3 linked regions of the Coturnix japonica genome follow. The protein of the gene in region 3 purifies or fractionates together with the protein of the main gene of each other region. This does not show direct contact. Links are inferred from orthologs where the notes say so. Each region holds a gene or a part of one and is shown on either strand. Other genes may lie near its edges.

Region 1 (7,654 bases), on a different chromosome or scaffold from region 3:
TGAATGTGTAGCACAGTTGTTGGGGAAAGCATGAAGGACTGGATGGAGTTTAGCACACAAGGTCCTTTACTGATGTATTTTCTTCCAAAGGCACTTTAAAAAGCGTTTTACTGAAGCAGTACTGAATGCAGTACTTAAAGCAGTACATTAGAATGCCGTGCACTGGAGAAAAACAATTGATTTCATTTTTTTAAACTATTATTTTTTTTTAGAAGTGGGGTCTTTAAATTTTTCAGTTCTATCAGGCTACGGTACCTGTCTTTCTGAATGTGGATACTTAGTTCCAGCTCCCAAAGTCTTTGTGGAGGATGAAGTATTTGAGTTCTGGATAAACTTATCTGCTTAAACCTCTACCAGGCATCCTGCAGTCAATGTTACACAGCAAAGACTGAAAGAAAAGCAAATAGCGTCCATCTGTCAATGCAGATATTTTATAACAATGGCCCAGACTTTAAAGAACTGTTTAGCAACCAAAATTAGAAAGTTGCTTTCTCATGTGAAATAGTTGCATTTTAGAACTATGTAATGGAGAAAATAGTAATATATGAAAAAACAAAACCAACATGAAAGTGATTTGAAGGATTCTGAGTGAAAACAAGGAGAATTATTTATCTATCACAGGTACCATTCATCCAAATGGAATGAATCTAGTAGAAGCAAAGCAAGTGGGAAATTATTCCTCAGTGCCTGTTGGTCAGACAGGTGGACAAACAGGGAAAGAAAGAAGGAAGTCTGAGCCTGTATTTTTCACCCCGGAAAGGTGAAAGTGTTAGTTCAGTTTCTCTTTGTTGCTCAATAGAGAAGTCTTCCCCTTAACTACAGTGACTTTCTAGTACACAATTAAACTTATAAAATGTGAGAGGGAAGGTGGATTCTTACCAGAATGGTTTGTGGTATCTAATATGAAAGTGAAGAAAATGCAAATCCACTAAAAATTGCAGTAATAGAGACGGTAACCACATACCATACATTGTGAGACTTTAGATGCAAGCACAGATAATAGAAATGGGGAAAGGAAGTAAAGGTAGAAATAGTTATATCTTGCCTTTTTTTTATACAAATGTCCTGTTATGAACTAAACGTCATCTAGGGAACAAGGATTGTTGGCTTACAGCAGAACTTGTTATAATTGTGCTCTGCCATTTTAGGAATGTGGGAAGCAGATGGGCTTTGGAACAAGCCAAGTACAACCTGATTAATGAATACTTCCTTGTGGGAGTTACTGAAGAGCTTGAAGATTTCATCATGTTATTGGAGGCAGCTTTGCCCCGGTTCTTCAGGGGTGCCACAGAACTGTACAGGACAGGTATTTAAATGGTTGATTTCTACATCCCTTTCATCCTCTTATCACTGTTGAAAATGTGAATTATTTAAATCAACATGAATAGTTTTAAAAGTCCATGAAGTTTGCCAGTTGAACGATGTTCCACAGAAGAGAGGAACTCTGTAACGAAAACTCTGTCTTATACAATTTGTAACACTGAGATTGGGGTAAAAGCACTTGCATCAGGTGTGCCACGTTTGCAAATCACAGACACTCAAATTACATACTTAGGAAATTGGGGCAGGTGTTTGTCAGAACACTTCTGAAGGGTCTCGCTAGGGTTTCAGTTATGTGAAGTGGTTGGTAGTGGAAGGTTTTTGTTTCCTAGGAAGCCCTGTTGAAGTTCTGTTCTTGGTTCAACCTAGTTAACAGTGCAAGGTGAGTTTTGTTCTAGATGGGTTTTCATTTCAGAAACAGCAACAACAAAAACGCACCTGTGTTCAGAATGAAAATTCAGATCTTCAAGTAACGAAGTGGAAGGAAAATGAATTTTAAACACAAAACCAGATGTTTTTTCTTCAAGTGGTTTCCTTAAATTTGCTTCATTGCAGCAATTTCAAAAACTGAAGTAATTTCTCTTTAGCTCAAGCATTTTTAAATCAGTTACTGATAATGCAGAAGAAGTTTTGAAGGCTGCCTCTGGATAATTTAGTTAATACCAGGACACAGAGAGCAAAGCAGTATCACGTAAACTGTGGAAAGTTAACATGAAAAATTCTATACATCGTATTCAGAAACAATAAGTTTTGTGGAGAACCCTGAATGCTGCTATACAGGGTGTATCATAGGATTTCTGCTTCAGACTGAATATCCATACAGCTCATGAATACTTTAAACTCTGTACCTGGTTTCTGGAGGCAGCCATTAGCTCACATCAGCAGAAATGTGTAAGAATAGGACAAGGATATGGCAGTCATCGCTATTGGTTATCATCAGTTCCCAGCAGTGAGCGAAATGCATGTTGGAGGGTAGCTTTTGTTCTTTGGAGAGTTTTTCTTCCATCATCTGGATTTTACAAAGTGCTCAGAAACTCGCCACAACTCTCTGACAAGAATCTTGGGGGCGGGGGAAAGTGCTGAAGAATTCTGACCAGAGTCCTTTCTTCTGCTGAAACTTTTTCACGTCTTTGATTGGCTTTGTGACTTTTCTCTGCACCTTTTGCCAGCACACAGACTGCTGTCCTTCGCACAGTATTTGCAGCTCAGGTTCTCTGTGAATTCTTCTTCCTACATGAAAGCATTCTCAGTGCAAGATTGTTTTGTTTCCCCAAACCATTGGATTAATTGGGATATGAAGGTCCAAGTGCTCCTATTGTAATGAGATGTTATATAGATAGCAGCTCACTTTCTGGGAGCTGGCCATGCAACTTATGTAGTATTGGCAAATGTAATATAATTGAATTTAATATAAAGCAACAGATAGTTCTTCTTAAGGAAAGTACTGTCATCACTTTTGTCATCTTTCCCTAATGAGAGAAGTATCTGGCTCTGCAGTTTGTAAAACTCTTAACATTTGATACCAGATTAACATCTAAATAATTAATTCTGTAGGATTAATCTTGCTCCAAGTACATTATGTGAAGTAATCCTGTTCCTTGAATGAAATGTTCATTCGCTGGGTGTATTAGGCTAAGAAGAAAGAATTGTAAGAACCGATTCAAAATTCATTAACATTTAGTGAGAGACTGCAATGTTCCAGTCCCTCATATTGCATCAATAAACTCCGGATTAAGTTGTGTCACTTCTAGGACAGTTTATCGGCACACTGAGAGCGTACAACTCTGTAAACAAAAGGGCTGTTTACATTTTTTCATCACGTGAACTTTAAAGTGAAGTTATTGCTTTCATTTTGCGTTTAGGAAAGAAGTCTCATCTTAGGAAAACAACTGAGAAAAAACTTCCCACAAAAGAAACTATTGCCAAGCTACAGCAGTCTGAAATCTGGAAAATGGAGAATGAGTTCTATGAATTTGCACTGGAGCAGTTTCAGTTTGTCAGAGCACACGCAGTTCGGGAAAAAGATGGAGAATTGTATATCCTGGCTCAAAACTTTTTCTATGAAAAGATTTACCCTAAATCAAACTAAGAATGCGATACTTTTAGATATACGGACCTAAATCTTTGGTCACATCGTCATCTTAGCCCTCAGCCGTGGAAACTAGATCGCTTGTTAGACCTCCAAGATGTTTCTCTATAGGTCCGAGAAGAGTGGGCTGTGGATCACCTCCAGGGCAATGGATACTGACTGACTGTGTTGGTAATCCAGAAGCAAAAGCTTCACCTCTTTTATCTAACTAATACTTTCAGTGGGAGTTAATACCCTTTACCTGAGGAAATCTTCACTTTAATTTGGAGCGATTAACACACAGCAGCTCTAGTTGAAAACATAAAGGAAAAAAAAAATAATGCTTCTGTTAATGCTCTTTTTTAATTTTCAGAGCAGTTTATTTTCATTTATACTTCTGTGAAGAGGAAGTCATTTTTCCCAGCTTTCAACATGGAAATCTTGGTTGTATACTATATGAGTAGTGTTAATAACCGGTTGACATCTGTGCTTTGTTTTTGTGAATCACATCACACGGTATGGATTGGGATAGTTAATCATGTTCTGCTGAGAAATGCTGCTGCCGCTGGAATTGCCCATATTTATATTTGTGGTTTTATTAAAAAAAAATTATGACTAATCGTTAGTGTTAAAACATCATTTCCACACTGACATTGTAAAAAGTGAAAGAATCGGAGCAGTGGGGTTTTGTTTGTTGTTGTTTTTTATACCCACCACCAAGCGGTGGACTGAGGTTGGGAAAACCACAAGGAAAGTTGGTTTTGTCTGCAGTTATAGTCAATACTTACACAGTGGTATAAAAATAGCAAAATCGGTATCAAGTTTCTCCATGGATTCTTTGTAATTATTGTAAGCTGAGGTATTGGTGAATCCATATTATGACTCCATTAGTGAGCTGTGGTATGGTTAGGGTTTTCCTACTACTTCAATACTTTTACCTGTAGAATATTTTTACTAAGGTGCTTTATAATGTGTTTTAAAGCATTGCATTTACAAAAGGAGTAAAATGCTGTAAATACTGCTTATTTTATGTATTTGGACCAAAAGGTTTAAAGTAACTAGTTTGAAGTGGGGTTTTTTTCTGTTTGGTTGGTTTTTGTTTTTTTGTTTTTTTGTTTTTTTTTTTGCACCAGTTCTGTTATGTGTAAAGTAAAAAGGCATCGCATATACTTCCTGGTTGAGTCAACTGTTGAATATTGCAGAAATGCACTTCAGTGACCTCTATGACTTTAAAACTAGAATGTTGTCCAGGGATTCTCTTTACGGAAATGTAGCTTTCATCCTTTTGTTATATTAAGAGGAAAAGAAGCAAAATGTGATGTGTAGTCTGGTGGAGAGAGATGCAGTGAACTTGACATAATTGTATTTATGTAACTGCCTTATGTGACTATTGTAAATTTGTGAGTTGCCGTTATTAACAATGTGAAACACCTGGTAGATCAAGTAAATTGAAATTTGAGAACAGATGTTTGGGGCCACTGCATTATAGCAAACAGCAGTGGAGGACTATAAGAATTTGTTTCCTATTGGATTTTCTGAAATACGAGTATTTACACATCTTACACCTGCCTTTTCTTAAAGTGCTTTTCATGGAGTTTGATAGGAGAGAAGGCACAGAGGAGACAAAGTTAGGAGTAAAAAAAAAAGAAAAAGGAGGGGGCTGGAATTGTGGAAGTTTTAATTCCTAAGGGATGATGCTGAAGGCTTAGTTTAAAATTACCAAGTGGAGTTTCTTTAGCCAGCTTGTTCTTGTAATGAAAACAAAGGAAATGGAAAATGGTCTGTGAACTGGGTGTCTGCAGCCAAAAGCAACAGTCCATTTACAGAGAGGATAATGAGAGACTGTCAAGTCCGTCTTGTGTTTTCTTTGTTTTCTTGCATTTTCTTTTTGAATTTCAAAAATACACCTCATTGTTCCTCCCAGATAATCAGGGAAGTTCCTTCTGGTAGCTTTACCGTTGATACAGTGTGAACCCCGTATAAGATTTCCTGTTCCAGTTCTTTTCTACTGACGTCATTAATAATACCAACATGCTTGGGAACGTGCTCACACATGGAAACGTGTTTCCTAGCTACAGGAAGGAGCTGAGGAGTCAAAGTTTGTTATAAAATTAAAGGAATATTTATAATCCCCATGAAGATTATCTACGAAGAGATAGTTCTATTTTAGATGTAATGACTAAATTGTTTTCCTTCATTATAATTTGGATTTCTTTACCTTCTTGTGTTGTCTTCAGAATTTTTCAGAAGAGCACCCTTTTAAGAGAACAGGAGCGTTTATTAAGTGAAAATATACAACATTCACCGAAGTAATGAAGAAGGTATTTGTACAAATACTTCTGTATTGACAAGAAAACAGTAGGCAAAGCCTATTCAATCTATGGAAATCTATTTCATAAGCAATTTTAAGGTGTTTTTTTCTCTTGTTCACCCCAGGATTTAAGGTTTTGGAAAGGAGTCTTCAGTAACAGCAGAAAAATGCATTTTATTTTGTACTTTAAAGAGCAATATATATTTTTCATAGTAAGAGATTTGATTTACTTCCTATTCTTTGCTGTGAACTGACAGGTTGGAGGAAAATGAGCTTAAGTATTTTTTAAAAAGAAATGGTAGCTACAAATGTACAATGTAATCGTTTTAGTTGTGTTCTGAATGCATCGCTGTCTGTGGAACACTGAAAGGAGGCAGATAGGCTGCTTCTGTGTCTAGTGCTGCCACCTTGTCAACCACGGACTTTTTTGGACTCTTTTGAAATAAGAACTGCCCAACTTTGATTTCCTAAAAGCAGAGAGATTAGGAAAACGAGCTTTAAGCTGTATGAATAACCTGCTGTCTGTTGGTATTAAAAATATTTTGCAGTATATGAACGGAGTTTATCTTGTGCATTTCCCCTTAACAAGTTAACATGTAAAGCAGCAATACATAGACTTCTGCTTTGCAGGTTCAGTAGACTTACTATGCAGCCTACTGAACGCAGATCTCTTAACTGAAGTCACTGTAGACTCTGCACAGCAGAGTGAGATTTGATTTTTTTTTTGCTGGGCTGAGTTCATTAGAAAGGTGAAACTGTAATCCTCAAAATTACAGTTGAGAGTAGATCCTGTTACACTGTTATGTACTTCTCATACAAAACAAACATTCAGATTCTGTGCAGAATTCTAGCCCTGTTGAAACTCATGGTTGTCAGTATATGGCACTTGGTTCAGCTGTGCCGACAACTACATAGCCATAACTCCAGCATGCCTGGAGCACTTGACGTATACTGGGCAGTGCTGATTGGAGGGCAACAGTGTTCTTTGCTCCTTCCCATAGCGATTCTGCATCCATGCAACAAGAATTTCATTCCTGTGTTCCTGTGCATCTATGAACAGGCACAGTTCTAGGGTATAGGATGTCCTATGTTTATACATTCCAGTTCATTCTGGATTTGCTTTCTTACAGTCTTTAATGGAATGATCATAGCTTCATTTTCAAACAGGCACAGAAAATGATTGCTATACAATATGAGAAAGGAAGAAGCAGTCCATCCAGGCTGTTTGAAATGCCTTTTCTCTGAGTACTTAACTTTTCTGAAGATACGTGGCTATTTTTGTGTTCCAGGAATGCACGTTTCCTTGTTCATGTTCTCAGAGCAGTCCTATTTTAATATCAGGGAGAATTCAGTTGTTTTCTGTTATAATTCTGTTAACATTTCCCATTAAGATTACCTAGTGTTGCTAAATGAGTGTGTGACAAGAGTTATTATGGATGATGCTGACTGAACTGTGCTGCTTTGCAGTCGGTGGAAAAGCCTGATTCAGATGCACTGCCAATTTAGCTCTTCGAAATTAGAGCTTATTTTATGACTACTAGAGATAAGGAAACTGTAGCGCTACTGAGTTGCATGGCTGCATCCTTTACTTTGAGCCTATGCAACTAGGTAGCCTCTGCAGCAGTATTTATAGGAAGAGCCCTCTTCGTGAAGACTTTTCTGGAGCATAATTATACATGTTTATACCCTTGTACTGTCTTGTATCCACATCAGCAGCTTTCTGTAGCTTCTGTTAAAAAGAAAAAAGAAAAAGACAGGTTTGTGAGCATTTCTGAAGTAGTACTGAATGTAATTTTGAAAAACATGGATTGTTCTTCATGACTCTTTTCTTTTTAAATACACACACAGCTAAATAGTGCCTTTTTTCCTCACGATCCATGTTGAAGATGCTCGCTCCCTCTCACTCTCAGTAAATTGGTTTGTTTGTGCAATACTGTTCCAACTTGAAACCATTT
Region 2 (8,406 bases), on a different chromosome or scaffold from region 3:
GTCTCCTTAAACTGGAGCAGGGAGATTTATCTTGGAATCAATCCTCTCTACAAGGAACTGTTCCTTCACCTTCAGGTCTCCTCAGCCCATCCCATTAGATAGCACTGCATGAATTCTTTGGTTTCTACCCTAATATTGTTAACTATATGTTAACATAAGCGCAGGATCTACTCTTCACCTCTAATTGCCTGATTGCCGTTTCTCTTTCTTTAATAAGTTCAAGATCCTGTTCAGTTATCGCCACATCTTCTTCTTGAGACTGCATTTGGTTCCAGTCTTCACCACTGTGAAGGGAAGGAAGGATAGTAAAACACTGTTTCTTTCAGCACAGGCATATTTTCTCACTATAATTACACTGAATCACCAGCATGTTAAAGCTGAAAAGATTCCTACAGAACACCAGTCTTGCAACTACAGGCTTATGGCAACAATTACAAATGAGAACAATAATGGGGACAGACCAAGAGAAGTGAGGAAACTGAAAAGCAGTACATGCATAGGATAGTTTGTGCTAGGATGTGACCATTACCTATAGCATTATAGAACAGACCTCATTTCAGGTTGGTTTTTTTTTTTTTTAAGTTTGTTTTTTAAGAATATCTGTACCTTCCTTTCCTCTCACCATCCCCCACAAAAAGGGGGGAATCAACCAGGGTGAAAGTCTTGATGGAGAGCAGCCTGCAAGCACAACATTATCAGATCAAAAGAACACCTGACAAGCATCCTGGCTCTAAGATTCTCACTTGCTATCTGCCATTTGGGGATACGAAGAAAGGGTTTAGTATGTTAATTCATTAATTTAGCAAGAACTACAAATTAAAGTCACACATCAAGAGAGATGTTTAGAAAAATCTCTGCACACCTACCCTGATGACAGTACTTCATAACTGCCACGTAAGTTACACACACTGATTACAGTGAAGGCAGTACCAATAGTACAAAGTCATCTATGTGTCCAGCACAAAAGAGTTCTTCTAGGGTAATATCTCCCTCTTCTTCTCGGAGGCAAACGTATCTGAAAGCACTGTAATATACCCAACAGGCACGTTGTGACATAACTCTACGTAGTAAGTTCCAAAGGCTCCAAGTGCAAAAAGAAATGACAATAAACTACTTGACTAGATGGGATACAGCAGAGACATTCAGGAATTCAGCTGAGTTGACAGGAGAATCTTCAGGTGTTTAGGGCACAAGTTTCTGATGTGCAGCACATAAGAACAATTTTAAATGCAAAGTAGTTGCTGCACGATACTGCATCTCACTGAGATGAGGGCCTCTGCATGAACAGGTATTTATGTGGCACCCCATGCAATAGTGAGCAAGACTTCAAACTCATCACAGCATCTTTATGACTGAACAAAATAGGGCTTTCACTTCTGACTCAGCACGTGGAACCTCAGGACTAACAAAGGGGGACACACACCAAACAACTGATCAGGAGAGGATGGATGAGACATTTCAGATAGGTGCCTCGAGTTAGAACATTGCAAGGTTTATACAGATAAGGCCTACATACTTCATCCTCTATTTCTCAGGCATGCATAGTGGAAACTGACACAGTAATCACAAATGCTTCTGCAGTGTCTTGAGTTCACTTGACTCACACTGTAGAGCTGATGCAACATTCTGCAAACTCATCTGCTATGCAGGCACAAAGTTACCGCAGAATCTATATATATGTCTGATATTTTATATCGATGTAGACTACGCATGTTCTGGTATCAATTTGTTATTTCTTCCAAGTTTAGAGCAGCCTCATCCACTGCTTTACAATGGCTCCATCTGGGCTCATAGATAACACCCAAACTCATAAAAGAAGTAAAGAGTTTTTCTTGTGGAAAGAGTTATGTGACAGAAAATACGTCTGGTAATCTTGTGCTCACAGTCCAGAACACCAGGAGGGCCAATTATCATATAACAGAGACTGAACTATTCCCAGTGGGACAGCCTACATTTCAACAGGGTCAAATACTGTCATGCATTTCTTTTCCTAAATGCTGTGTATTAGCACTGTAATAGCTGCATAGCATCCTTCTGTTTTTCATTCAGCTATAAAAGAGTTGTCCAAGATACAATATATCTATAACAATTTTAATTACACATAGGTTAAGAGTGTGCCCCGAGAATGCAAGAATGCAATTCTTTACCTATCAAATGAAACAAGCTGTTCTTCTCTGAACCGCTCATCAGCCTGGAATAGATAAATGAGGTGTTAATATTTCAGATCAGCAGAACTACCAACAAGCAAAATCAACAGGAATATACTGAAGAAAAAGGCATTTGCTGTCCAGAGACAGCATTGTCTCTTCAACTTTCAGATTTAACCTAAGGGAATTTAGACCAGATTTAGATTCATCTTCAGACTTAAATTCAGACTGTCTCAGCAAATCAGAGGCAGCTGAAAGGCAAAGACAAGAGTCTATTTACTCAGATCACTGATGTATCATCAGCATATCAAGATGTGTGCCTACTAATTACAACATCTGGAACAGCAAAACAACCTACTGAGGCCTCATTTGTGATCAGTAATGCATCAGTAGACAACCATGAAGCCAGTGGGCAAAGACAAGATCTCCAAAATGATTTGTAGTCCACCATATCACAACAGAATGCCTACAAATACTTACAGAGATACGGGAGCCAGCTCTTGCCCTTGCTACAGTCTCTTTTTCCTTCTCTGACACTTGCCTCTGTACTGCCTGGAAATTATTTAAGGCTGCAGAGAAATCATTCATTAAACGTTCTTTCTGAAGCCTCTGTTGACGCTAAAGAAACAAAAACAAACGTTCAGATATTACCATTCGTGTTACTGTAACCATCAGACTCTCCAAAACATAAAATGAAAAGTAAATGCTAACATGTAAGTGATCTTCCCAGCATTCTGGGGTAGAAACAGGAGAAAAAAAAGCCCATCACACTTTCATGTTATACCAAATGCTCTATGCTCTACCTACTGTGGAACTGCCCTGTGCATGTTTCCCTGGCATGTCCCCTTTGAAGGTTGTGACATCCAGTACATGGGAAACAAGTAGCTGAGAAAAAGACTTGACCCAAGGACAGTCAGTACTACAGCTGATTCTTACAGTTGATTTTCCACTACAGAAATTCTTCAGCTTCACTCACTTACAGAAGTCACTGCCACATTCAGCAACATGGACTTTGCTTACCAGAGTGAGATTAACTGAAAAACACTTTCTGAACAAATACACGAAACACTGCCGTATTTACAACTGGTATTTAAACCTTTAGATAGAGAATTGGATCTACTAAGACAACATCTGCTGACCCATATCCACAGATCATCCCATAACAGTATCACAGGAGCAGGTAAATCAGTATTGTGGCAGTGATTTAAAGTGGAGACAGAAGACTCCAAAGGCAGAGGCCCATCCCTTCCCTTCCCCACAGGAAGGGATGCCCTGAAAGACTGTTTTGCCAGAGACAAAGTCACCTCAGCAGGTTTCTTTAAATGTGAGTAACCTGAGTCAGCTCCTTCCCTCCCCCACCTTCAGTTCAGGCCATAAATCCCGTGGAAGGAAAAGTTTTTTTGATGTAATTACAATTCATACTGACATTCAGCTTGCACTGAGTTTTTATCCTAAAACATGGTCTCGCATCACCAGATTGCTCTGTAAACAAGATTATTTTCTCAGAAATAGAACTACATACTCAGCTTTCCCCAAAGTTTTAGAGCTATCTGCTGCTGATAAATGATTCCCCCTCAGCATCATACAGTCAGGATGTAGCTGACTGAGTTCGTCTTCCCACTTCAACAACTGCTTTCATTGCAGAAAGCTGCTGTATCTTCAGCTGTGCCAGTTTAAGCTCCGTGAAATTGCACTCTAAGCCAGCTTATCAAGTAAGCAACTAAAGAAAGCTCTAGAAAATTCTACCTGCATACCTGTTCAGAAGCAGACAGAGGAAGTGGTAGAGATCCCAGTTCTTTGAGATACTCATTGGTCGCTTTGGCCAAGCTGTTTGCAGAGTGCTGTAGCTGTTGTCTAAAACAATAGTTCAGAAATAGTTACACAGGTTTCTTCCAAAAAGCAACCCAAGCATTTCAATCTTTGCAATAAAGACCAAGTAAGGTTTCTGAGCTCAAACATCTTTAAGAACTCAGATACTGAATTCCTGCAGATCCATGAAACTTCACAGAGAAGAATGATACAGATTCAGCTCTGGGAAATGCAAGGCCTTCCCCAGTCTTCCAGCTCTTATGTTTTCCAACAAGGTTGTGATTCAAAGCTGCTGGTGCAAAGGATCTACTGAAGCAACACTTCCATTAGCATCACAACACAGGAAGCCATTCACATACAATTAAGTTTATATTAAGTTTATGCAGTAAAGCATCTCTCCAAAGTAACTCCCTCCTTCTAAGAATAAAGGTGAAAATAAAAGAGCCTAAACAGTGTTTATCCAATTCATACTTACAAGTTTTCCTGCAGTTTGCTGGAGTCCTGCTTGGTTCCCAGCTGGCTCATCAAATTCTTTATCTGAGCAGCTGAAGACAAAGAGACCACAAGATTAATATGAGTTCTAGTGTATTTTATCCCTACTTTAAGCTAGAAAGCTTCTCCAGTGAAGGACCTCTCTCAACATTTTGCTTAACTCAAGCTGATAACACAACACTTAGACTCTGCATTTCAACATCCCCATTAAACTGTTAATATACCTGCAAGGTAACCACCCCTTCCCAGCCTCAGAAGGGAATGTCTGAACAGATGAGCCAGCTGACTCGCTGTATTCTGCAGCTTCACGCTCTTTAACGTCAGTAAGAGATGCTGGGAGCATCGTGTAGGACAAAAGTCCACCTGGTGGGCTCCTAGCAATTCTCCTGCTCCCTCAAGCAGCAAGGCAAGACCAAGAAGAACCACTTAACACTGTTCTAAAGGCAGCTGATTTTCCCCTATAGGGAAAGAGAAATAAGGAAGTGCTCAAGGCTTCAGTTTCTCTTCTCCTCAGGCCCTTTATCAAACACACAGTACAGTTAATGACTGTAATGGTAAGTCAGCTGCTCTGTGTGCTCCCACCCACCCTGACTGAAGCTGTAAGACACTTGTTTCACCTCCAATTGGCAGCACACCGGGAAAGGGCGGCTGCTGGGCATGAGACCCGGCCATAGCATCCTAAGAGGAGCTGAACTAATTAAAGGAGGAAGCGAAAAAGAGAGGAGGAGAGAAAGCTTTATGACATTCACTCCTCTCAGCAGCACAGATGCTGTTTCCCCAGCCATCCCTCCGCTGTCACAGGCAGCAATGGAGCCCCGCCTCACCCCGGGCCCTCAGCAGCTCCCACCGCGGCCCTGCCCGCCGCTACTCACTGTACTGAGCGATGCGCTGCACGTTGGCGCTGCATGTTTGTATGATTCCACTAAAATCCCTCGGCGGGGCCGTCGCTCCGGCCCGATATGGATCCAGCGGCCCGTACGACATGACCGGCTGAGTGACGGCTCCTCCGGGCCCGGCTGCCAGCACCCCGCCGCTCTCTGCGCATGCGCCACCGCTGCTGACCGAGCGCCCGCCCTAAAGCGAGGGGACGAGGCCTGCGCATGCGCGGTCGAGGCCTTTGGTTGCCATGATGACGGGAGCCCGCCTTAGAAAGGGATGGAGGCCGCATGAACCAGAACATGGGCCTAATCTGACCCAGCCCTGTCCTGCTGTCATTATAAACTCACCCCAGAGTGGGATTGCTACACACCAAAGTAAAATCTGCCCCCAAAAGTGGCACTGGGGTTGCCTCAGGGTGAGACTCCATTTGGTACTGAGGTGAAGTCTCGCACTGTCCCACACTTTCACCCACAGTTCTGCATCCTGCCCCCAAATTCAACATCTCCCAAATCCCAAATTTTCACCCTAAATTCCCCGTCACCCCATCAAGTCTGCGTTACCTTTAAATACAAGGTTCCCCAAATCCCCTTTTACTCAAATCCCACAGCTTCACCCCAAATCTAGCATTGCCTCAAATCCCTCCTTCCACCTCAGATCCCACAGCTTCAACTCAAGTCCCACATTGCTCTAAATCCTACAGCTTTACTGTATTGTAATGTACTGCATTACCCAAATCCCACGGCTTCGCCCCAAGTCTCACATTGCTCCAATCCTTCAGCTTTATCCCATATCCCCCAGTATCATCCCAAGTCAAGTCCTAAATCCCACAGCTCCACCTCAAGTACTGCATTGCTCAAATCCCCGTCTTGCTCTGAATCCTCCAGCTTTGCCCCGAGTCCCGTGTCACCCCATAACCCTGTTTCATCCCAAATCCCCCAGCTTTGACCCAACCCCCCTTTGCCACAAATCTCATGGTTTCACCACTGTTCCCCCAGTTCCATTCAACCCCCTATGGGATACTGCAGCTTCTCCTGCCCCTGCTGGTCAATGATGCCCAGGCTTTGTTACACCAGGTGCTGGAGAGCAGCAGTGCCAGCATGAAGATCCAGGCATTTTTGTGGCTGTTGCCATCAGAATTGCACCAGAATGCCCCCCACAGGTTCCCAAAATGGACAGGGAGCCCTGGTTGAGGCTGGCCAGGTGGTTCATCAGGAAGGATTTGCCGCTGTGATAAGGCTCCTAATGGCCACCACCACCAGGGGCTGGACCACCTCCTGTAGTGCTGTGGGGTAGAAACAAACACCCCACACTTTATCATGTGCCCTTCTGTATGATGTCCTATGGTATGGAACATCCCTTTGGCCAGCTTGGGTCCCTGGGTGGAAAGTGCCACAAGGTGGTGCCACGAGGAGACAGAGCGAAGTGTAATTACTGATAGCATCCAAGGTACAGGTCTCATAGTGCAAAGATCATTACTATGTTGAACACAAATACCATGTTAGTTTCTCAATCAGCAGTTTTAACATATTGAAAGTCAAGATCATAAGGCACAGCAAAATGACATCTTCAGTCCCACTCCTAGAGATGGTAAACAACGTGACAGACACGTAAATAGCAAGTAAAGTGCTAAATGATGTTGTTCCAAAAAAACACTGGTATATCTGTGCCAAAAATACCACAATAAGTAGCAATTATCAAGCTCATAACACATGGTATGGTATATTCCTTTGGCCAGTTTAGGTTAGGTATCTCAGTTCTGTCCCCTCTCAACTCCTTGTATCCCTCAGCCCTCCTCATTGGCAAGGTAGAAGGAGAAGCTGAGAAACTGAAATGTTCTTGGCTCTGTACAGAACTGCTCGGCAGCAACTAAAATGGCACTTTGTTATCAATACTGTTTTTCTCCTAAAGCCAAAACATAACATCAAACCAAATGCAATGAAGGAAAATTCAATGCCGTCGCAGCTGAAACCAGGACACAGGGATGGATGGCTGGGCTAGAACAGGTGCTGCACTGCATTGCTGGCAATACCCACTACTTTGCCGACCACACCAGGCAGGAAGAGTGAAGCCACATTGCCCAGGAGGCTCACAGCTGACCCGATCCATGAGCGTTTCTTAATTTTCTTCTTCTCCTCCTGCAGCCGCTCAATCTGCCGCTCTGCTGCCTTTGCCTCACGCTCGTAACCCTCCTCCATCAGCCTCCGATGTTCCTGTGGGACAGATAGTGCTGCTAGTACCACTGCACGATGCCACAATGCATCCACAGCGCGCTGGTACCACTGCACAACACCATACAGCCACAACATGCTGGTTCCACCATGCAATGCTGGCACAGTGCTCACCTTCAGGCGGTGCTCCAGCATGCGGTCCTGCTCCTTCAGCCGCAGGCGCTGCTCCTCCAGCAGTCGCTGCTCCAGCTGCCTGCAGTTCTCCTCCAGGCTGCGCTGCTGCTCCTTCAGGCATGACATCTCTGCATCCCTGGCTGCTGCCTCCTTGGCTGCAGCTGCCTCCCGCTGCTGCTCCGTCATCACCAGCCATGCATCGGTAGCATGCAGCATTTGTGCCAGCGGCTCCTTCTCCCGCAGGAACACCTCCAGCACTGCATCTGCCTGATGGTACAGCTATGAGGCACCGCCTGCACCACCACACCAGGCTCCATCACACCCCACTCACCTTAATACCCTTTTCAGGCCACTGCCGGTACTCATCCAGCACACTGCACAGATCATCCTGGAACCGCTGTGCACCACCCGGTGCTGCGTAGTCCCCACAATGTATGCGGAGCTCCACGTCCTGCCACAGGTTCTTCAGCACCTCCTGGCAACGCTTCTCCGATGCCTTCTCATTGCTTAAGCAGAACTCCTCCTTGGCTGCCTCCAGGTCTCGCTGCACCACCAAAACAGGTCTGAATCGAACTGAAATCACCCCCAGAACCCCACAGCGTGACAGTGACTCACCATCAGCTGACACTGGTAGGTGCGCTCGTTGTCAGCAAAGGCACGGGACAAGAAGAGGGTGATGGCGTGGCGCTCCCAGCGCTGGTGCACATCTATCAGCGTGGCACGCGAGTCTGTGGGCA
Region 3 (8,199 bases):
GCAATTTGGACCATACTCAGCCAGCTCTTAGAATCTGCACTTCTCCACAAAGGGGGTTTGCCCTGGTGCAAATGGAAACACAAGCCCATTTACAGATGAGATCAACTCCAAAGAGCAAAGAAAGACTTGCCATATATTTTCCATTCCATCAGCCTGGCAGCTTGATCAGCACGTAGACTGAAATCTGGCTTAGATTCTGATTTGATTGCGGTTGCCATCTGCATCTCCCTTCTCCACCAGCTTCACATACAGCCCGGCCTGCCTCAAAACCTCCTTCTCAACCCCTGAGATGGAAGCCCCCCTGTACCCAAGTCTGTGTATCCCCAGCAGACTCCCAACACAAACATTTTGGCTCTTTTCCCCCACCAGCATGGAAGGCAGCAACACAGATAACTGAAGTCACTTACAGCTCTATAGAAGGAAGTTGTATGTCTATCCTTAAAAATAATTGCGTTCCTATCAGTAAAAGGAGACTGTCTGGAGTAAATATGCACTTCCTCTCATTGTGAAAAAAGAGACTTATCAGCAGTATGCTCATACACTTTCAAAAGCTCGTTGTATATTTTCATATTATCACTCTGACATCAAAGGAAATCACTCTTAATTATGTTTACAGAGATGGGGGTTATGCAGAGAGGCCTAGATATGACAGTCTGAGAGGTGTTGCATTATACATTTCAATGAACTGCTTCTAGCACATACAGTGCCATGTCTCCCCAATCCCACATGTCACATCTCAAACCAGAAGCTTTGAACTATAATAAAGTCTGCTGCAGCTGCCAGGCTCTTGAAATGACAGCAGGAAGGAAAGGAACTGCTGGCTGTAAATATTCTGCTTAGTTTCACTGCACTGGGACTTGGGAAAAAAATATGGGTCATTTTAAAGCAAAATAAGTATCAAACAAATAATGATCAGCATCTTCCTCCCAAGGGTCTCAACAGCAGCATGGAAAGCAAAGAGATGGTGTTGTGTGTTTGCTGGTGCTATGCACCACACAGCTCTGCCCTCCAGATACTTCCTTCTAAGAAGGAAGCAGCTCTAACACCTGTGCAGGCTTCTCTAGAGCAACACAGTGCAGCTTTAGCACTTACACAAGTTCCCTTGGGGATATCCTTGCATTTCTTCACATGCCATCCAGGTTATGAGGGACTGTTATCCCAACTAGCATCAGGCAGCTCCAAGAAGGTGTCTGGGTTAGGGTACCATCTCATGACTCCCTGTAATCAACAGGCAGAGAAAGGCACCTCTGGGTGTAAGCATATGCCACTTGAGGTGAGACGAGAAGCCTTATTCAGCTCCTCCAGGGCTCAGATTAACAGGCAGCTATGGAAACTCCAACAGCCCTCGAGACAAGAATTTGAATATAGAGACATCAGGAACAAAAACAAGGAATGATTGTTCTTGTAAGGAAATAACAGCAGTGTTCCTCAGAACTAAGAGAGGGTTTTGAACAAAGCTTCAGATGTCAGGATTGTGCGATATTGATCTAACCCTTCAGAGCAAAGCACAAATATTTTGCTTCTGCTTTTCTCCACTTGCATCTCATATTCTCACTGCTTGTGTTGGAGCTTTCCTGAACTGAACAGATACTAGAGGCCAAATGCTCATCCTAATCTGAGACATTCATCAGAGACAAATCTCACTGAAGCTCATTCTTCAAATCCCAACAGGAGCTCAAATACCCACTGGTTTCCCTTCCAATTTGTGGCACCTCCACCCTAAGCCATTGCTGAGCTCTGGATGTAGCCTCTTCTCCGTGCTCACAACATTTTGCTCCTCTCTTTTCACTCTTGCATCAGATCACAGAGCCTGGAAGGTCCTGCTTACTGCACGAGTGGATGTACAACAGTACAGCATCTTTGCACTGCACAACTATATCAGCTAAATTCAGGTAGGGAATCTTTGCCACCTGAATGCCCATAAGCAGCCAGCAATGGTGGGCTCCTCAGCAGGTGCAAATGCAGCAGAGATGATGTGCATATAACACTCGGCCCTTCTCACCTCTATTAAAATGCCTGGCAACGTAAGACAGTTAAGCTCGCATACAGCCAGGAATAACATGAGTCAGGGCACACACCACTATTTAGTTTGAGAATATGTTCTCATGTAACAGCACAGCTTCCAGGGATAAATAAATGATCCGGTACAAGGGATTTTAACCAACCTGCATAAATCAGTACTAGGGACAAACCCAGCTACATAGAAAACCCATTGTTCAATTTCTTCTTATTAAGAACCTCTATGTGGTTTATCGCAAGCTTTTAGGAGGGAATGACTACCAAAAAGTCACTAAATATCCAGAATAGCACAGTTTTCTCCGTAAATAAGGCTAGCAATTAATTGACATGAAAATCCCAGCCACCAGCACTCCCAAAAATCCACAAACCACAGGCAACAGCAGAGAAACCTGCATCCAAGTTAGGGTTGGTCAATGGTATAGATGTTGACCTCCACGTGCTGTTCGACCAAGAGATTCAGGTATGTCTGTTCTGTATGTCCAAGCAGGCAGTGATATTGCAGCAACAGCACTAAAATGGGAGCGTTCAAATACCAGGATAAACTCACCCATAGTGTAAACAGCCACAGCTCTTCCCAGCAGCACTGAGGAACCCGAGAATCTCAGAAGTTCATTGAGATAAACATTCAGACATTTACTGCGCTGACATTTGCATGGGAGCTGATCCTTTTATAGTCAGTGGAAAGCAGCTCTCAGGTCGCAATTCATTTGGGCTCAGATGAATCATGCTGCAGGAATACCCACTTCTCCAGATGTACCATACTGGGAGATGGAGTTGGTAATCTTGGATGTAAAAGGCAGATCTGGCCAGACAGATGCTACCTTCATCATAGTGGGGTACCTCAGCTGGGCTGGTATTTACTTGAGTTGCCCCCAGTCGACTCAGTGCTGAAAAACTGGCCTAGATCTCTGCACCCCCCAGCCTCTCTGTTCTGCCACTCAGTACAACCAGCTTCCCATGCACATGTTTAAGTTGGCAGGACATCACAACTCATCCTCCAGGAGTGGGAAAGCAGCTCTACCACATCCCAGTCTGCTCCGCTGGCAACACCATAGCTTGGCCAATACAATTCTACCAGGGTTAAGCTGGCATCCACAGAGCACATCAGCAGCCAAAGTGAATCACCCTCTCTTCCTCCTGCCCCAAAATGAATGCAACTCACTATTGGACATCCCAAATATGGGCCAAGAGAAGAGAACAAAAGGTGTCGTTTTCTGCTCCCTGAATGCTTGGATACAACTGGAAGTGATGGTTCTGAGAGGCTGCATAGAAGCAATAACTGTAACGTGATCTCTGCCCTAATCCACCTGCACCGTACTTCTTCCGTATCTGAAAGGAAATACAGAACACCACTCCTTTTTGCTCTTACTCCTGCAAAGGCCGGACTCACCAGCTGCACCCAGCACCAGCTGGATTGGCACATATCAGCTCTCACACATCACATAACTTAAAGCAGAGCCACAGAGCTTCGGTGCAGCACCACACTGAGGTGAGTCCAACCTGAGATGTGTTACTAGACTGACACCGGAAAATGGAAGAATAAAATAGAGGGAGTGGCAAAGGTTTCAACAAAAGCACAGCTCCAAGCTGATAACGCTAATACCTGGCTAGATTAGAGCAAGAGTAACGTGCAAACTAAGGAGTACAATGCAAACATGTAATAACGCATTCTGACCCACATTCGCAACTGAATTGCTTTCAATTAGAAGCCTAGCTGGTGTCAGCTTCCTTTACAGCCCACCCAAAACCAGGAGTGCCTTCTGAATGTCTTCTCATTGATGGGCATGAGCCTACAAGCAGCCAGGCTCAAACATATCCCAGTGGAACAGTATGAATCAAGGACTGTACACCCAGTATTCATCCTGCTTAGGAAACAGGATTGCTTTGGAGCCAGCCTGATGAAGGCACTCAAGCAGTGGTGCACAGTAGAAGGTCTGTTTCCTTCTAATCACTCAAAATGCAAGATACTCACAAGCAAAGCAGGTTCTGAAGCACTGCAGCAATCAGAGGGCTCCTTTGCATCAGACTCAGCATTTGCAGCTATGCAGCCCACGCAATTACAGCTCCTTCTCCTTTTGCATTTTATCCTGTCTAAAAAGACATTGAGGCTGACTGCTGAAGGCAATGAAAGTCCACAGAGTATTTGGCAAGAATAGAAAGTTTCTGCCTGTTCTCCCCGAGTGGGAGGCAGGTGTTGAACACACTAACGCTGCTGGGAAGCTGGGTGTGTGTGTGTGTGTGTGTGCGCGAGTAGCCACGTGTCAGACATTTCACAATGCAGACACATGGTGAGAACTGAAAACCAAAGTGAAAAAAGCTTCGCTGTTACAGAGTTCAAACACGCTACTGTCAGAGCAGGATTCACCTCTTTTGCTTTACTCTTTCTGCATGCTGCATCTTGCTCAAGGAAAACCAGCACGGTGATGCCCAAGCCTCAATGGCAGAGTCAGCAGTTACTGTTTAGCTTGCAGAAAAGAAGCTCCAAGTGGGCCTCGCTGCAGCCTTCCAGTAATTGAGGGGAGCTTATAAATAGGAAGGAGACTAACATCTTAGAAGGGCAAATAGCGACAGGATGGTGGGGAATGGTTATAAACTAAAAGATGAGAGAGTTAGTTTAGATGGTGAATTTCTTCCCTCAGAGGGCAGTGAGGAAGGGAGCTGTGGGTGTCCCATCCCTGCAGGCACTCAAGGCCAGGCCGGATGGGACCCTGGGTGGCCTGAGCTGCTGGGAGGTGTCCCTGCCCATGGCAGGAGTCAGGGCTGGGTGGGCCGTGAGCTCCTTTCCACCCTAAGCCATTCTATGACAAAAAGAAGAAATCCATCAGCCAAGCCAGCTGCCCATGAAACGCTGACAGATGAATGGAAACCAGCCCCTTTCCTAACCACAGATGAGAACCAGCAGCAGGGCAGGCTGAAGACCAACAGACAGCAGGACCTCGTGGGGCGTGCTAGGAACAGGCACCTGGATTTTCTGTCAATTCTCAGCCCCTTCTGAAGCTTAAAAACAGACAGCGGAGCACAGAGCGGCTGGAGCGCTCCTGTGCATGGTACGGCCACCCAACAAGCGGCCGGGCTCCCTCCTCCTCACCGCTGGGGCCTTCAACTCCCAGCACAGCACGTCCCCGCCTCGCTACTCCCGTAGGGCACAGGGCCGAGCCGGGACACGCGTGTGTGATCTGTGAGCTCCCCAGCCCCGCTCGGGGGGCTCGGAGGGAGGCAGGCCGCCGGGCAGCCCCTACCGCAACCCGCGACCCCCAGTATTGCATCATGCAAAATGGATTCCACGCGTAGCCCGCACCGCCCGGCCCGAGCCCCGGCCCCATCCCCATCTCCATCTCCATCTCCTCCCGCAGCCAGGGCAGCCCCACTCCGGCCCCGCACTCACCCCCGGCCCCACGCCGGATTCGGGCTCACACGTCAGGCGTCCCGCACAGCCATAGCAGCGCCCGCTCCGAACCAACGCTTTACAGCTCCGGATCGGGCTCGAGCTCCGCCCCCGCCCCGCGATGAATGGGAGGCTCGGCCCTCCCAGCCCGCCGTACCTCCCTGGGTCGTTATGGAAGCGCTGGGAAGGTGTTTGTGGGGGGTGTCCGGCATCAGGTCGGGCTCAAGTGCTGGGATCACACCGGTAGTCTTTGCAGATGGCGGCCGCCCTTGTGGCTGGCCTGGGCCGCGATGAGTGAAGAGAGGTTGGGCCACATGTAAGATATATAATATCATTCATGCATGTAAATAACAAAACTACTTTTGTTTCTGTCATTTTTTATTGAAATGTTTTAAAAAAGCAACGGAAACATGGAAAGAGTGGGATATGTGGCCTTGTTTTTGTGACATTCACCTATCAGTGACAGTACCTATCAGTACTCAGGATGCTCAGGGCCCCATCCAACCTGGCTTTACACACCTCCAAGAATAGGGTCATCCACAACCGCTCTGGGCAACCTGTCCTAGTGCCTCACCACTCAACTGATCATTTTTGTGTCCCTCCTCTGGACCCTCTACTAAAGCTCAACACCTTTCCCGTGCTGAGGGCACAGGACTTTCAATGAATTCTTCTCCCAGTCTCTAAACATATCTGGGATTACCCTGATTTGCACCATCATGGAGCCATTAACCACAACGCTCCAGATGTGACTTTCCAACCAATTCCTTATCCACCAAATAGTCCACCCTTCAAATCCATCTCTTACCAATTTAGAGATAAGAGTGTGGTGGGGGACCATGCCAAAGGCTAATTTGACCAGTGTACCTGTAGAATTCCTTCTGGCTGTTTTTAATATTCCTTTCAAATTTCAGTTCCATCTGTGCCCTGGCTTTCCTAATCCCATCTCTGCATATCCAGCATCATCCCTGTGTTTTTCTCAAGTGACATTTCCACTGCCTGTACATGCACTTCTTTTCCCTCAGTTTTACCAGTAGGTCTGTGCCAAGTCATGCTGGTTTCCTCATTCCTTGACCTGCTTTCCTATTCTGAGCAATGGAGAGATCTTGCTCTCTCAGAAAGGCATCCTTTACTCCACTCCTTTACCTCTTAAGGACAGCCTCCCAGGGGATCTGATCCAGCAATTCATTCAACAGACTGAAGTTCACTCTCCTGAAATTACAGAATCACAGAATCACAGAATGACCCAGGTTGGAAGGGACCTCAAGGATCATGTAGTCCCACCCCCCCTGCCTGGCAGGGCCACCAAACATACACATTTACTAGATCAGGTTGCCCAGGGCCCGTCCAACCTGGTCTTGAACACCTCCAAGGACGGGGCATCCACAACCTCCCTGGGCAGCCTGTTCAGGGTCCTGACTCCACTGTTTGCCAGGCCCACATTCCTCAAGATCATGAACTCAATGAAGGTGTGGTCGCTGCAGGCTGGGCTGTTTCCAGTCTTGAAATCCTTTAATGATCTCCTCTGCACTGGTGAGCATCAGGTCCAGCAACACACTTGTCAGTCTGTCCAATATCTGAACCAGAAAGGTATCATCGATGTACTCCAGGAGTCTCCTGGATAGCAACAGTGTCCCCTTAATCAGATGGCCTGTAGTAGACCCCAGCTCCATATCTTTTCAACACCTTCCCAAGTGACATGAAATCTTTTTTTAATATATATTTTGTAATTTTCTGATTGCAGCTTCGTGTGACCCAGCTTCAAAGATCAGGAGAGGATAATCTGGTTGTATCATACCCAGTATCCTCTTTGTGATGTCCCAAATGCCGACCCCTGGCAGGTAGCAAACCACTTTAGAGAGGTCACCTGGGCATCAAATGGGTACGTCGGTGCTTCTCAGCAAAGAGTCTCCAATTACTAAGATCCTTTGCTTCTTTTCAGGCATTTAGACCTTCCTAATGTGGTCGCTCCTTTCTGGTTCTGAGCCTCTACGCACACCTTCTTTTCTCTCCCACACCAGAGCTTGAAATCTCCTGGTCAGTAGGACTTCAGGAGCAAGGGAGAGGCTTCTCCTTTTGCCCCATGCAGAGACAAAGTTTCAACCTCCTTCACCCTGCACGTGTTTACTCTCTGTCAGGTGGGAAGCCTGCTTATCTTCCTCCCCTGGTTGGGCCCCAAGACAGGGTAGTCTGTCTACCCACACCACCCCATGAGACCAGGCATCAGCCTCTCAGACTGCTGAATAACTCTCAGCCTGGCAACTTCCTCTCACAGCCTGTTCAGCTGCTCAGAAAGATCATCAAGTTGGGCACACCTGCACCCACAACACCCCTCACCTACCTCAGTCCCTTGTGTGATCTCCAGATTCCAGAGCTTCCCATGGCTGAAGGTCTGGGCAGCCCCCTTGTTCCTCAGAAGGTTCATCTGGGTGCATACGTCAGCCCAAAAAGGCTCTGGGCCCCTATCTGTGTTTTCTGCCCCAGCTTGCCTGCCATGCTGGGTGGTCAACCATTCCCATGCAGCCCCAGATTAAAATTATCACTAAAAAATCATGTAATCATGTTAAAAGCTTATGTTTTTGTGGGGTGACATTACTGGCTGTCCTGGGCTGTGTGCAGCTTGCAGGCTACAGGTTGGACACGTCTGATCTAGACCGATGTGCTGGTCCTGAGGGTTGTCCAAACAGACCTGTCAGGAAACTAGGATAAAGCAAACACATTAAGATACTTCCTTAGATCACTCTTTTGATCTCCAGTAATTCCAACTGAGAAAGAAATTATATCTTTGTATATAGTAC

What was found.
Region 1: the proteins of SLC7A1 (region 3) and HS2ST1 purify together in Homo sapiens (co-immunoprecipitation; 3 studies listed by BioGRID and IntAct, counting the BioPlex papers as one, with this or other methods). This does not show direct contact. The link is inferred for Coturnix japonica from reciprocal best matches to the Homo sapiens genes SLC7A1 and HS2ST1.
Region 2: the proteins of SLC7A1 (region 3) and STX12 purify together in Homo sapiens (co-immunoprecipitation; 3 studies listed by BioGRID and IntAct, counting the BioPlex papers as one, with this or other methods). This does not show direct contact. The link is inferred for Coturnix japonica from reciprocal best matches to the Homo sapiens genes SLC7A1 and STX12.

Annotation. Positions count from the first base shown.
Region 1 is NC_029523.1:13,824,350-13,832,003, reverse strand, and holds the end of HS2ST1 (heparan sulfate 2-O-sulfotransferase 1), read left to right. Parts: intron 1-1,148; coding exon 1,149-1,306; intron 1,307-3,182; coding exon 3,183-3,409; 3' UTR 3,410-5,492; downstream 5,493-7,654. UniProt on the Homo sapiens protein: Catalyzes the transfer of a sulfo group from 3'-phospho-5'-adenylyl sulfate (PAPS) to the 2-OH position of iduronic acid (IdoA) or glucuronic acid (GlcA) within the heparan sulfate (HS) chain and participates in HS biosynthesis.
Region 2 is NC_029538.1:1,329,620-1,338,025, reverse strand, and holds the start of STX12 (syntaxin-12), read right to left. Parts: upstream 5,509-8,406; 5' UTR 5,433-5,508; coding exon 5,321-5,432; intron 4,502-5,320; coding exon 4,432-4,501; intron 4,002-4,431; coding exon 3,902-4,001; intron 2,766-3,901; coding exon 2,628-2,765; intron 2,192-2,627; coding exon 2,148-2,191; intron 679-2,147; coding exon 607-678; intron 285-606; coding exon 179-284; intron 1-178. Other genes in the region: guanylate-binding protein 1-like, read right to left, coding at 7,322-7,537, 7,670-7,936, 8,001-8,213, 8,285-8,406. UniProt on the Homo sapiens protein: SNARE promoting fusion of transport vesicles with target membranes. Together with SNARE STX6, promotes movement of vesicles from endosomes to the cell membrane, and may therefore function in the endocytic recycling pathway.
Region 3 is NC_029516.1:156,904,102-156,912,300, reverse strand, and holds the start of SLC7A1 (high affinity cationic amino acid transporter 1), read right to left. Parts: upstream 5,645-8,199; 5' UTR 5,617-5,644; coding exon 5,562-5,616; intron 5,538-5,561; exon of another isoform or gene 5,405-5,537; intron 4,111-5,404; exon of another isoform or gene 3,992-4,110; intron 1,219-3,991; exon of another isoform or gene 1,136-1,218; coding exon of another isoform or gene 1,093-1,135; intron 1-1,092. UniProt on the Homo sapiens protein: High-affinity, low capacity permease involved in the transport of the cationic amino acids (arginine, lysine and ornithine) in non-hepatic tissues.